2 linked regions of the Schizosaccharomyces pombe genome follow. Each later gene encodes a partner of the first gene's protein in a complex. Each region holds a gene or a part of one and is shown in the gene's direction. Other genes may lie near its edges.

Region 1 (7,221 bases):
TAAAGGTTCTGAGCCTGGTTGAGCGTTTGCAATCGCTTCTGCATCAGCCTTTCTTTTTTGTTGCTCTAAATATTCAATACGTTTTTGCAAATCAGGAATACCATAGTATTTCAAATCAGCAGCAAGAGTGAAATCATTACGACGCTCGGCATCCTCAGCCTTAGCCTTCAACTCATCAAGACGACGCTTAGCATCTTGAAGTTCACTTCCACGAGACTTTTCTAATTCATACTTCTCACGAATAGGTCTTGTTTCTTCTTCCACTTGTTCAGCCTCTTTACGAGCAGCCTTGAGACGTTCTTTGGAAGCTTCGTCCTTCTCACGCTCTAAAGCACGAATTTCAACGCGGAGTTGTCGAAGCTTTCTCTCAAGGTTATCAAGAACTTCGGGCTGAGATTCACGAGTAACACGAACTGCAGCCGCAGCTTCATCGACCAAGTCGATGGCAGAATCTGGAAGACGACGAGAAGTTAGGTACCGGGAAGCGAGATGGGCAGCAGTAACCAAGGCACGGTCAGAGATAGTAACACCATGATGAACCTCATACTTTTCTTTAAGACCACGAAGGATAGAAATCGTATCTTCAATAGAAGGCTCTTTTACCAAGATGATTTGGAATCTACGTTCGAAAGCAGCATCTTTTTCGATGTATTTCTTGTATTCAGCCAAAGTAGTAGCACCAATACAGTGAAGCTTACCACGTGCAAGCATTGGCTTCAGCAAATTGGCAGCGTCCATGCCACCTTCACCACCGGAACCTGCGCCCATTAAAAGATGCATTTCATCTACGAATAAAATAATGGGAGTTTCACTTTCTTCAACTTCTTTTAAAACAGATTTGATACGCTCTTCAAATTCACCACGAAATTTGGAGCCGGCAACTAAGCTTCCGACGTCCAGGCTGAGAAGCTTACAATTCGAAAGATTAGCGGGGACATCATCGTCAATTATACGACGAGCAAGTCCTTCAGCAATGGAGGTCTTACCTACACCAGGCTCACCAATAAGAACTGGATTATTTTTCGTTCTTCTAGAAAGTACGCGAATTGTACGACGAATTTCATCTTCACGTCCGATAACTGGATCCAGTTGACCATTTCTAGCGAGCTCTGTAAGATCAACAGTAAATTTATTTAGTGCATCAAATCCTTCCTCGGCATTCTTTGAATCGATTCTTTTATTACCACGGACGTTATTTACAGCAAATTCAAACGCTTTCGGGGTGACACCGGCTTCTGCCAATAAACTCTTTAGCGTGTCGTCTTTAGTGAACACAGCGATAAAATGATCTTGAGCAATGTAAGAATCTTTTTGTGTTTTTTGAAGTTCATGAGCATTTCGCAGCAGTTTCGCACTTTCAGGTGACAGAGTCACTTGTTCTGGAGGTGGATCCTGAGCAGGCAAGCGAACTAACCGACTAGTAACACTTCGCTCAAACTTTTGACCATCACCACCAGCTTTGTCGACGATGGTGCGCAGTAAGGTAGTACCGTTACTGTCACTGTCGGACAAAAGAGCAGCAGCAATGTGAATAGGGGTTAATTGTGAATGACCATAAGATTGTGCAATTGAGTACGCATCAGACAATGTCTTTGCGGCTTTGTCAGTAAAAGGATAATCAGCCATATCGAGTTATATTATTATAGGAATTTTTATAATTTATAGATAAATCCAAAAAAAAGGAATTGTATATTTGTCGCTCGTTATAAAACAAAAAAGAGAGAGTCGTTGAACGGTAAATATATACGGTTTTCAGTTCGATTTAATAAGAACTTAATATCGTTATTATAATAAATTCTTCGGTTATAGATTGATGGTTGAGGATGCCGCAGGTAGAGAAGCTGTGCATATATATACACGATGATGTTACTATGGGAAGGAAAGGAACATACCAGAAGATGCCAGTTACATTGTTACTCGAACCTACTCCTACACTCTAGAAAAAGAAAGGGATAAAGTAGGGTAAATCCCAAAGACATGACTAGAAGATTTAAAAAAATAAGAGAAAAATAGCTTAAAAAAAAACCGGTGTAAATTAAAAATGCAGTTACCTTAAAAGTCTTTGAATTGTCTTTAAACATGGAATACTCGAAACCCGGAAATGATCTGCGTATTACGTAGTGTATGGAACAACGTAAAGACGGATACTAACCTCAACTTATTCTCAATTGCATCTTGCTAAATACCGTTAGAATTCATCAATGACTGAATAAATAATTTTTTGATACATAGTTCTTCTATTACAGAGATTCTAGTCATATTTCCAAGCTATTTCTAAGATAGAGCTCTTACATTACTTATTCTATACGGTAGCGATTATTCGTCGTAATGACATTTAACGAACTTTAGTTACTTGACCATAGTGGTTTATAAACTAAACAAACCAACAGTGAATTCTTGTTAACGTAACTGTAATCTACGAATATTGAGAAGAAAAAAAAACGAATGAATTTGTTGTGAATACATATTTTTTCCTTAGCGAACAAGTATACTTCATTCTTATTTTCATACCTCTTTAGTCTTATTTAAACCAGCAATAAAATTCGTTTTAAGTTTTCCGTGTTAATACCAATTAAAATAACGTTTTTTTCAATCATTTTATATGTCATTGCAACGTGAAAATAAGTTAATAAATTTCGGTAGCAGCTAATATGGAAAATGTACAATTTACTTGATACATTAGTGTAGCCTAAATTTTATTTGATCCTGGAAAGTATATTAAGGTAGAACGCGAAAGCTCTCCTAGTTTACGCCGTAAATTGTAATGACTCGCTGATTACATTTGGCTTATTATAATCCGTATAGCTAGAAAATTTCGATAACTGAATATTGCTTCTTTAAAAAGACATAAATAGAACCGTGAATTAGTACAGCAAACGAAAGATAAAAATTTCATAGTAACATGCAAATACTATTTTTTCAGTTAGTTTTCCATAATTTTGTATAATATTTCATATCAAACGCATCTAAAAAGTACGGACGAAATTACTTGCTATTGTAAAAATAAAAAAAATAACAAAACAAATTATAATAACGTGAACTGCTATTTTGGTCTCATATATGAAAGGTTCTTGAGATTTTTTACGTTGTCAGCTAGCAATTTTACGCACACTATTCTGTGCTACGCGCTCTTTGACTACTTCCCAAAAGCCAACTACAAAAGGTTTTTGCAGTAACCTTTGTTAGCTATTCTTTATATCTCTTATCTAGCTTGTATAAAATATAATTACGACTATGCTTGAAGCTAGATTTCAGCAGGCTGCTTTGTTGAAAAAGCTTCTCGATGCCATCAAGGAGTTAGTTACAGATGCTAATGTATGTAAGGGGCAGCATATAAATAAAGATGCTCAACGACAAAGCCTTTCTTTTTTTTAAAAAAAATATATTTATTAACTTCTTTTGAATGATTCTCTAACCTCATAACAGTTTGATTGCAATGACAACGGTATCTCTCTGCAGGCTATGGATAGTTCTCATGTAGCCCTTGTTTCTATGCTTATTAAATCAGATGGATTTGAACCATATCGGTGTGATAGAAATATTGCTTTAGGTATAAATCTGAACGCCTTATCAAAGGTCTTACGGTGTGCCCAAAACGAGGATTTGGTTACTTTAAAGGCTGAAGATACACCTGAGGTATTGAATTTGGTTTTCGAGAGCGAGAAAAATGACAGGATCTCTGATTATGATGTTAAATTAATGGACATTGATCAAGAACACTTGGGTATACCAGATATCGAATACGATGCTACTATTACTATGCCTGCTGCCGAATTTCAACGCATTACTCGAGATTTATTAACTTTGAGTGATTCAGTAACAATCAATGCTAGTAAAGAGGGTGTTCGTTTTAGCTGCAAGGGAGATATTGGTAATGGTAGTACCACGCTGAAACAACATACCGATCTTTCTGACCAAGATCAAAGTATCGAAATTTCTCTTACCCAAGCTGTAACACTTACGTTTTCTTTGAAATATTTAGCCCAGTTCACTAAGGCTACTCCTTTAGCTACCCGAGTCACACTTTCAATGAGCAATGATGTTCCACTTCTTGTGGAGTATAAAATGGAATCCGGATTTTTACGATTTTATCTTGCCCCAAAAATTGGTGAGGAGGATGAGGAGTAGATTACGGAATCAATATCTTTTAGTAATCTCTTTGCAATTGACGAGCTAGCATCATTATAAACATACTTTTGTTTACTTTTTAATTCAACCTTTTTTGTACTGCTCCTTCCCTAACATTCATATCCAAACAGGCAAAATACCAGCTTTTACTTAAAAAAAATCAAATTCTTTAGAACCAACAAACTGAAGGGTAGAAAAACTTGTGTTCTTAGTGATGATTTTTCACAGATAACTTCGTAATCATCTGCTGTAGCTTGTTGATTTAAGTCTAGTACATGATATAATACATTGATATGTAAATTAGCTTAATTCTGAGAATTTATTCTAACTGATAATTGTATACTTATATGGCTAACCGCGTAAGAGCCTCGGAGGGACAGTTCGCCCAAATACTACCAACGCTACCACCAGTAGCAGCAAGGCGTAAAAGTTACTTAAAGAAGATAGAATTCCTTACTCTCTATACTGCCAACTTTTCGTAATAATTTATATATTTTACTATTTGGCTATATTTGAAATTTTTAGCGTTGAATATACTATGGCAGGAGATAGTGTGAAAAGTGCAATCATTGGGATTGCTGGGGGTCCTTTTTCTGGAAAGGTATTTTATTAAAATATTTTTTTCTTAATTCTAATACTTTAATACTAGACACAACTCTGTGAGCAATTACTTGAACGTTTAAAGTCATCAGCACCTTCAACTTTTTCTAAATTGATCCATCTTACTTCATTTCTTTATCCCAATTCTGTCGACAGGTATGCACTTTCCTCTTACGATATTGAAGCGTTTAAAAAAGTTCTTTCTTTGATTTCTCAAGGAGCCGAGAAAATATGTTTGCCAGATGGTTCTTGTATAAAGCTACCTGTAGACCAGAATAGAATTATTCTAATCGAAGGTTACTATCTTCTTCTTCCCGAATTGCTGCCCTACTATACGTCTAAAATTTTTGTATATGAAGATGCAGATACTCGTTTGGAACGCTGCGTTTTACAGAGGGTCAAAGCAGAAAAAGGAGACTTAACCAAAGTTTTGAACGATGTAAGGGTTTTTCTTCTAGGTTTATTCTAATTTCTTTTAGTTTGTAACTTTGTCTAAACCTGCATACGACTCTTCGATTCATCCAGTATGTTAAACTCTTATTTGCTGTTGTATACTAATTATTGGAAGACTCGAGAGAACGCTGATATTATACTCCCTCAAAAAGAAAACATTGACACAGCCCTACTTTTTGTAAGCCAACATCTTCAAGATATCCTCGCGGAAATGAACAAAACAAGTTCATCAAATACGGTGAAATATGATACTCAGCATGAAACATATATGAAGTTGGCGCATGAAATGGTAAGCTCAATTTCCTACATATTAACAACTAAAAGTCCTAAATTTAGGCCCGTACTTCGTTATCCAACCGAGAAGTCCCGGTAGTTGCGTCTTTGTATATAAAGGAGAAGTAATAGGCCGTGGTTTTAATGAAACTAACTGCAGCCTCTCGGTAAGCCTTATTTTAATATGCCTTTGCTGACGATGATAAAGGGGATTCGACATGCTGAACTTATCGCTATAGAAAAAATTTTAGAACACTACCCAGCATCTGTTTTCAAAGAAACCACTTTATACGTGACTGTTGAACCGTGTCTAATGTGTGCTGCTGCATTAAAACAGCTTCACATAAAAGCCGTGTATTTTGGATGCGGCAACGATAGGTTTGGCGGATGTGGAAGCGTATTTTCCATTAACAAGGAGTATGTGAATTTATCAGTTCGTTTTTGCTTACGATTTATGACAGCCAATCTATTGATCCGAGCTATCCAGTTTATCCAGGGTTATTTTACTCTGAAGCTGTGATGTTAATGCGCGAATTTTACGTTCAAGAAAATGTAAAAGCACCAGTGCCACAAAGTAAAAAACAACGAGTATTGAAGCGCGAAGTTAAAAGTTTGGATTTATCTCGTTTCAAATAATTATATTAGAAGTCTAATTTTCTGTGGTTTCAGGTAGGGTTATAATAAAGGTTCTTAGGTCGATGCGTCAGTATCAATCATGTTGGTTGAATATGTTGAATAATATTTACTGTTTTTTATATATTTCTATATCAGAATAAATTGTAGTGTAATATTTGATGAGAAATCACAAATCCACCTAATTTTTTTCAATATACAAAATAAAGCAAGATGTTTTAAAGAATCAGAAAACTATAATTTGCAAGAATAATGGAAATTTATTATCCAAGTAATATTAGGCTAATCATTTTACTTATTTTACTTCTTCTTAGAGACACCAACGGTCTTACCGCGACGTCCAGTAGTCTTAGTGTGTTGACCACGAACACGAAGGTCGAGAGCGTGACGAAGACCACGGTGGGTTTGGATCTTCTTAAGGCGCTCAAGATCCTCACGAAGCTTACTGTCAACATTGTTGGCAAGTAATTGGAATGACTTGCCATCGTTGATATCCTTTTGACGGTTAAGGAACCAAGAAGGAATCTTGAACTGGGAAGGGTTTTGAATAATGGTAACAATACGCTCCAACTCTTCAGTGGTAAGCTCACCAGCACGCTTAGACATGTCAATATCGGCCTTCTTGCAAACAATGTTGGCATAACGGCGACCAACACCCTTGATTTGGGTCATGGCAAACATGACCTTTACCTTGCCATCAACGTTAGTGTTGAGGAGACGGAGAATGTGTTGAAACTATAATGTTAATATCACATCAGAGGAAAACGAATTATTTTAATAATTTCACACTTGAGTATCTTTGCCCAAAAAAGCTGCTATAAAAATGCAATTTAAACGCAATAATAATAGGGAAAGGTGTTGAAACAGAAATTATAATATTTACTTACATTATCAGGAACAACGAGAGACATTTTCCGGAAGCTGCTGGTAAGTACAAAAGTATATCAACTAGAACAAGCCCAAACACTGAAGCACTCTCAAAAAGCAGTCACCGTGGTATATATATTACAATAAAAGAGTATCATAATATAATTATAAATAATTGATTATTACGAGCAATAGCGAAGTAAACAAGTTAATGTCTGGAAGTAATACTTCTTTTCGAACAATAACTCTGCTTTGTTCGGAAAGACC
Region 2 (6,642 bases), on another chromosome or scaffold:
CAGGGTTATATAATTAGATGAAATGTTGTAAACAGTCGACGTGCATTTAGACACAAATACGGCTTCTATGTCTGGAAATTAAAGATTGTATTTAAAAAAAAAAATAGTATTAAAATATTACATCAAGGAAGAAAAAAAAAACTAGACACCAGGTATTAAAGACATGCAATATTTGGAACTATAGTATGGTAGACGTTGCTACTTGTCGCAGTTAAAAATACTGGCGATTAAGCAGCTTTTTTCGGGGATTCGCCAATACTGGGTGAATCTGTAGGAGTTGTAGTCGCAGTGCCAGAACGCGATACAACTGTGTCCAAATATCGAAATGCCCAAACTCTCAGCTTTCGCTGCTGAGAGTCTGATAATTCATCTGGTAAAGCTTTTTCTTTTTTGGATAGAACTAACTGAATATGCTTTTTCAAGATAATTTCAGTCATTTTCTTTACTCTCAATTTAAATTCAGCTTTACCAAGCTTCTCTTGGTATCTAGCTGTTTTGTTAGCAAAAAATTTTGCCAAAACTGCCTTAAAAGCAATGCTTTCAGGACTATGCGAAGTTAAATGATGATCAATTGTGGCATCCTGAGAGCTTTTCGTCTTCTTTTCATGCAACTTTTTGGCATGTCTTTTCAAACTTTCTTCGTAAGCAAGACGTCTCTTTTCTTCTCTTTTCTGCTGAGCTATTCTTTCTTCTTCCTCCTTCTGTGCCTTCAACACATTTTTCTGATTGACACTCTCCATTGCCGCTGAAATAATCTTGTTTAAATCTACTTTATTAGCTTGATTGCTGACTTGTTCTTGCTCATTATTTGGTGTAGTTGTTTCAGAAGGAGTGTCAGAGTTAGAAAGACGACGACGTTTAGGGAAAGAATTTTTACGAAAAAGGTTGTGTTTTGAATGGCTTTGATAGTCATTTCCAAACTTGGAACGTGAACGACTATCACTAGGCCTAGAAGAATGTAATGCTGGATGTTTCTTGCTCAAATCTTCTGTTGAATTATTGATTGCAGATTTTATATCTCCCTTATCGCCACGTTGTGGTTCCTGATCCCTTAAAGGAGGATTACTTTGATTATTGGAGGGTTCTGCGTTCGTTGACTGTGGAGCAACTTGACCAGGCTTCCTTCGGGGAATTCGATAAGCTATCTCCAAAGATTCCCATTCTTTTAAAAGAGTTTTGGCATGATCTTTGACCTCCTCGTTCTCATGGTCGCAAAACTCTTGAACAACGGGCTCAATATTTGAATCTTGGATTTTATTTCTTGTTAGGCGTGGCCAAGATAACATGGTTTTTATAGAACGTAGTATAAACTCAATATCAATGCTGAACTTCTTCAGCATCAAACCAAAAATGTTGTAACCACGTAACGCAATGATCGAACGGCATACACTAGGATCTGAAGTCAAGAAAATGCGTTCCATTAACTTTCTTGTTAATAAGTCATCCTTAGTTTGCAGGAGAACGCCAATCACTTTAGTAGCAGACTCAGATGTCAGAGGAGTAGGTTGCACCTCTTCAATAATTTTGCTAGTTTCGTCAATTCCCTTTTTACGACGTTGTCGACGTGCAGTGATGTTTTCCCAGCTATCCTCTTCATCTTCAATACCAAGAGCCTCTCGGACATTCTCAGGTAGTTTCGATTGAGCCTCAGTTTGCGTCTTTCCGCCAATATACCCTACACAGCAAGGTTCTCCGCAATAACAAGGTTGGGCTTGTGCACCATATCTATCGACATTATAGTCAAAAGTAAGCTCTTCACCGCGAATAATATCTCTTTTACAAAATATACCCATTCTTAGCTTATCTCCTACCATCCATTTATCAACATAACAATTAGGTCTACAAGAGTGATTGCAAAATCTTGCGAGCGACCCCCTTTTAGTAGCATCAATATATTCCCCCTTTTGCAGCATCATGAAGTAAAAGTGTTTAATTCCCTCACTATCGTATTGTCGCATACGTTTACGAAACTTTTGTTCAGGTATAACTTCTCCAATGTATTCGTAGACAAATGTGTCTTTGGGTAAATTGGCATCAGCGCGCAAACCAAACCCTTTCTTTTCGGTTAAGAAAACATCCACCTTTGCAAATTCATGTCTTTGAAAGCGTTGGTTTTGACAGGATGGTCCACAAACGTTATCTTCGTCCGTACACTCTATAGAAGTCATTCTATTAATACAATTGGATCCGTGCCCACAAGCAACATTAACTCCATCTACCCAATGAGGCCGACAATCGCAAATCATAGCTTCGTTTTCTGGAGGCTTACCAATATTGGCGGAAGCATACTGACATTCTTGAATCTCTTCGAACGTAGTTAGCGCCTTATCTTTCGCAGAATCCAGGTGATGAAAAAGTTGAGGAGGAAGTGCCTCTTTTCTAACATATTTGCTTTGAGACCGAGAGGATGCAGACGATGGCGAGGACGTAGAAGGGGAAGGAGCACTTTCGTCTTTATTCATCCCTTCGGCATCCTCTTTACTTTCGAAATCATGAGATGACGAAGAAGATGGTGATGAACCGACTGCCTGGACAGCGATTGTGTCTTTTGACCAAGAAGACTTCCTATCAACGTTTTCCTCATTCAAAGGAGTTAAAACAGAAAGAGATGATGCCGTCTGCATTGTATGATAATGGACAAAAAGAAAGAGAAAGTTAAAAAATCTACAGTTTTATTGAACAAAAAGTAATTGCCGAAGGAAGCCAAAACAATAGAAAGAAGACCAGCTGAAATTTCACCGAAAATCTTCTTTTTAGAAAATTTCCGAAAATATCTCGATGCGTAACATATAGATCTTCTAACGTTTCAAAGTTTCGTGTCAAAGAAACAGTGAGATCAGGAAATTGTCTCAAGGAAGAAGTTGTGGCTGTTGGCGGCGTTCCTTCTTTACTCGCGGAATCCTCGTAGGGGCTCACAGTACCGGAGTGTAAACGACAACTCTTGACTTTAGTGTTAAATATTAAAGAAACCTATTAAAAGAAAAGGCTTTAAAATCTTTACTTTCATTTCATTCAAGCATCTACAAAAAATCACCATCACGCGCAACATTTGAATGCCATTCTTTTCCAGAAATTCCATAATAGTTGTTGAAGAAATAACACTGTTAGTGTAATAAAATTCACTCTGTTTTTTACACTCGGCGCCTTATGTAGCGAATATCTTTGAATTAATAATATCAATCATACTATGTAACTGTAGTAGGTTGTTTATCCAAAAAACATATGGTACGCAAAGATAGACACTAATTATCAACAATGAATGAATAAGAAAAGCTTTTTCAACGAATATTTTGAGTGAGGCAGTCAGCGTGCTCATACTGGATAGACCCAGAACAAGTAAGTTTACAATATGTTCAATTTACAAATCCAAGCATGTGGTATTGAATTATATTTGGTATTCTTTTTGTTCCCTTGGTCTTATTAATGTAAAATCATCATCTACCTGCATCTATTGAAGCAGTAATTAAACAGAAGTTTGAGAATCGGTAAAGAAAGAAACTAGGAATGTATGTAATAAAGTCATTTTATTTTGAAAATGCTCATCCTGTTAATTCTAGGTAGATTCTTTATTTCTTCAAACCCAACCACTTTTGTTAATATTGTTTAAACACATAATATATACATTGGCGAAATTGAAATAATGCTAAAATTTTGTCAGAGCATTAGTCATTGTTAATTTTAAAAAGCTATTAAACAAAAATAAAGGCTAAGAAAAAAAGATAAACCTATTCCATATGTTTATATATGTGTATCTTATCTTAAAAGGTCTTTAACTCAAGCTATACTTACTACAATCTATATGCAGCTACTTGTCCTTCATGGCACGACGGTGCCAGTAAAGTTAATAAGAAAACCATACCGAACAGGGGCCAAGTTACGATGAGACAACATGTGAAGAACAAAGGAAGAAGCGATTTCAAGCTTTGCAAAAGGTTTGACCAAATTTAACGAACAAACGTTTCAGCTGTTACCTTGAAAGCAGTTGGCAATAAAAGAGAAAGCGAATTTAATTGCTTTAAATGTTTTACTTTAACTCTTAGATATAAAGAGTGCGGAAAAAGTGGCAGAACCACAAGAAAACAAGATCTCAATCGCAAAAGCAATAAAACTGCAATTCCAAATTTTGTAGATTTTCTACCATTTATGAATAACGTGGGTTAGTGAAATGTAAAGAGATCCGTGTTCGATAGGCATTCCCCAGACAAATTTGACTGCTTTAAACGTCACAAAGCCGAGTAGCAAACGCTCCCACAACCAAACACTACACAAAGGTTCGTCGACAATTTATTTTGGAAAAAATGCACAGCAGCAAGCGAGTTATGACCACAAAGACTCATGTTGAGCAGCCTGAGTCTTCAATGCGTCCTCAGCTTCCCGAAAGCATTCAAGGCTCCTTAATGGACGTGGGAATGCGGGTTCGTAAATCAATTTCCACCGGATACAAGTCGAAACAAACCACGTTTCCTGCCTATAACCCACCGCTTTACAACACTGTTTCTGAAAACATTGCTTTAAAAAATACCGCATTTTCTTATGAGCCTAACGGTACTAAGCGTCCATTCGAGCAAGCAATTCCTAATTATAACTGGGCCAATCCTCCTCAAGACTTTGAAGAACCGGAATGGTTGAAGCCGTTTGACGTTGTCATGGAGGGTACCAATGAGAGATTATAAGCTAAATGTGAATCTCGTATATCTCTTCTTTAAGGATAATTTGACACCAATCCTCATAGTTCCAATTATTCCTTCGTTCATTAGTCTTTGACTTTGTTGATTCCCTATACCATTAATACATTTTATTATTGGTTTTGTGAGTGACGGCTAAGTGATTTTCTACTAATTAAACCCCCTCTTCTTTTGGGCATTTGTCTCTCCTTGTTAATTAAACTCTTTACATCTATGAATGATCTAGTCATATCTTTTTTTATTTTATCTTATTTGCTTATCGTTTTCTGCTTGACCAACTTATAATGGATTACTTTGTTGTCGTTGAATATCTGAATAGTAATTTTTTTCTAATACGTACATAATTTTTTGAAAGACTCATTCCTCGTATTTCCTCAGTAAATGTCACTTTTTTGGTGTACATGTAGATCGACCAAAGTAACCTGTTGCGGGCGACTTTTGTAACTTGTTATTTCTACTTTAAATCTTTTTCTTTTATGATGTTAGGGCGTTGGTAGGGGTTGTAACGTAAAAGGAAACAATTTTTGATATTTTCTCTACGGCATGTGAAAAGTATTACCCAACATGCCACGGAATTCTACGCTGTTTCAGTAATAAAATTTTATTATTATTATTATTATTATTTTTTTTTTGAAAAGATGTAATAAAATGCTTATATTTATAGATTACAAAGAGACAGTAATAACGTTACTCAGCTAACTAAAAAAGTGCAAACTAAACAGCGAATATGGCAAAAAACAGTCATATTTAAAAAAAAAATAATAATTTGAGAGGGAAAAATGGAATAATTTATTTAAAAACAAAAGATACCATAAAATCAATTAATCTACACATAAAATTTACAACTAGGATGTTATTTTGATAAAGTTTGTTGTAAATTTTTTGGTACTTCTACTCATCCGCTATTAGCTTGAAAAACAAAAGTAATTACTACCGCTTTATGGCCAACTAGTTTCATAGGGAGGATGACTGCATACAAAAACGCTGAAACCCTTTCAAATGAGTCTATAAGACAGCAGTGGAAAACGAGTATTTCAGTTTTTAGGTACATTGCAGTGTTATAAATAATATGTGTTTCTTTTCAGATTTTTTTTACTAGTCAGTTATTGTTATACCAATCAATTCCTGGTATGTTTATATTAAACAACAAACAGGACACGAGGAGTCCTTGAAGTATTACTACATTTCCAGTTCAACGATCTTGTTTCAAGGTAAACAATGTTAAACATTACTGCATAACAAAAATCTAATGACAATTGAAGCAGCGTATATAAAGCGATGCATAAAGCCCTTGTTAGGAAAGGCTCTACTTGCGGCTTCTTAATTAGTATTGATAAAATCTATTTCCATGGACATGCAAATATCTCGCAAGATGGATACATCGATCATTCTTCGGCGACTTGGATACCTCAGTCCCCACAAAATAAGATAAAGAATATTGGGTGTCGGTAGTCAGTATCCTAATCCATCAAAAAATTACGGACATTGCAGACGCTGATCGGTAACATACCAAGAAATTATCTGGTAGAACGCTTATATCCATATTTCCGATGCAATCGGTTCACGCCTGTTACCATTGATCGCTAAAAAATGTATGCAACTTTCCATAAAGGTAGTAAAGACATGACTTATACGCCGGATATATGATGAGCAATTTCATTTAGTAATTCTTTATTGTTTTGTACGTTTTAAAAGTATGACGAAGCATCTCAAAAGTATGAATTGTCGGATAATTGCAGCATGTAAATAAATAGGAGGATTCTTTTATTAAAGTCGACTTTAGGAGAGAAACAGTTTTTGTGCTTTCCCTCCAAGCATAACAATTTGACGTTAGGTTTAGCAGGTCGTTTAGATAAAGAAAGACATCCGCCTCTTTGTAAATCGCTTCAACATCAATTGTAAGTTGCTTACATCTTCTACGCGCCTCCACTGTATACTTATCGGGATCAATCAAATG

The links.
Region 2: the proteins of pcn1 (region 1) and spd1 are in contact, whole or in part, in a crystal structure (PDB 6QH1), measured with the Schizosaccharomyces pombe proteins. Residues at the interface, in NP_596504.1 of Schizosaccharomyces pombe: Met40 (codon at 3,463), His44 (codon at 3,475), Val45 (codon at 3,478), Ala46 (codon at 3,481), Leu47 (codon at 3,484), Leu126 (codon at 3,721), Gly127 (codon at 3,724), Pro129 (codon at 3,730), Ser208 (codon at 3,967), Asp232 (codon at 4,039), Val233 (codon at 4,042), Pro234 (codon at 4,045), Tyr249 (codon at 4,090), Leu250 (codon at 4,093), Ala251 (codon at 4,096), Pro252 (codon at 4,099), Lys253 (codon at 4,102); in NP_594981.1 of Schizosaccharomyces pombe: Ile29 (codon at 4,383), Gln30 (codon at 4,386), Gly31 (codon at 4,389), Ser32 (codon at 4,392), Leu33 (codon at 4,395), Met34 (codon at 4,398), Val36 (codon at 4,404), Met38 (codon at 4,410).

The regions. Positions count from the first base shown.
Region 1 is NC_003423.3:3,613,451-3,620,671, forward strand, and holds pcn1 (DNA polymerase delta processivity factor), read left to right. Parts: upstream 1-3,144; 5' UTR 3,145-3,234; coding exon 3,235-3,315; intron 3,316-3,424; exon of another isoform or gene 3,425-3,426; coding exon 3,427-4,128; 3' UTR 4,129-4,395; downstream 4,396-7,221. Other genes in the region: heat shock protein Hsp104, read right to left, coding at 1-1,626; rps1801 (40S ribosomal protein uS13), read right to left, coding at 6,388-6,822, 6,975-6,998.
Region 2 is NC_003424.3:5,408,191-5,414,832, forward strand, and holds spd1 (ribonucleotide reductase (RNR) inhibitor), read left to right. Parts: upstream 1-4,252; 5' UTR 4,253-4,298; coding exon 4,299-4,673; 3' UTR 4,674-5,029; downstream 5,030-6,642. Other genes in the region: histone lysine H3-K36 methyltransferase Set2, read right to left, coding at 228-2,624. UniProt on the Schizosaccharomyces pombe protein: Regulates the ribonucleotide reductase activity through its mediation of the nuclear localization of suc22, the small subunit of the ribonucleotide reductase. Delays the progression of the G1-S phase transition, thereby ensuring the G1 phase is complete.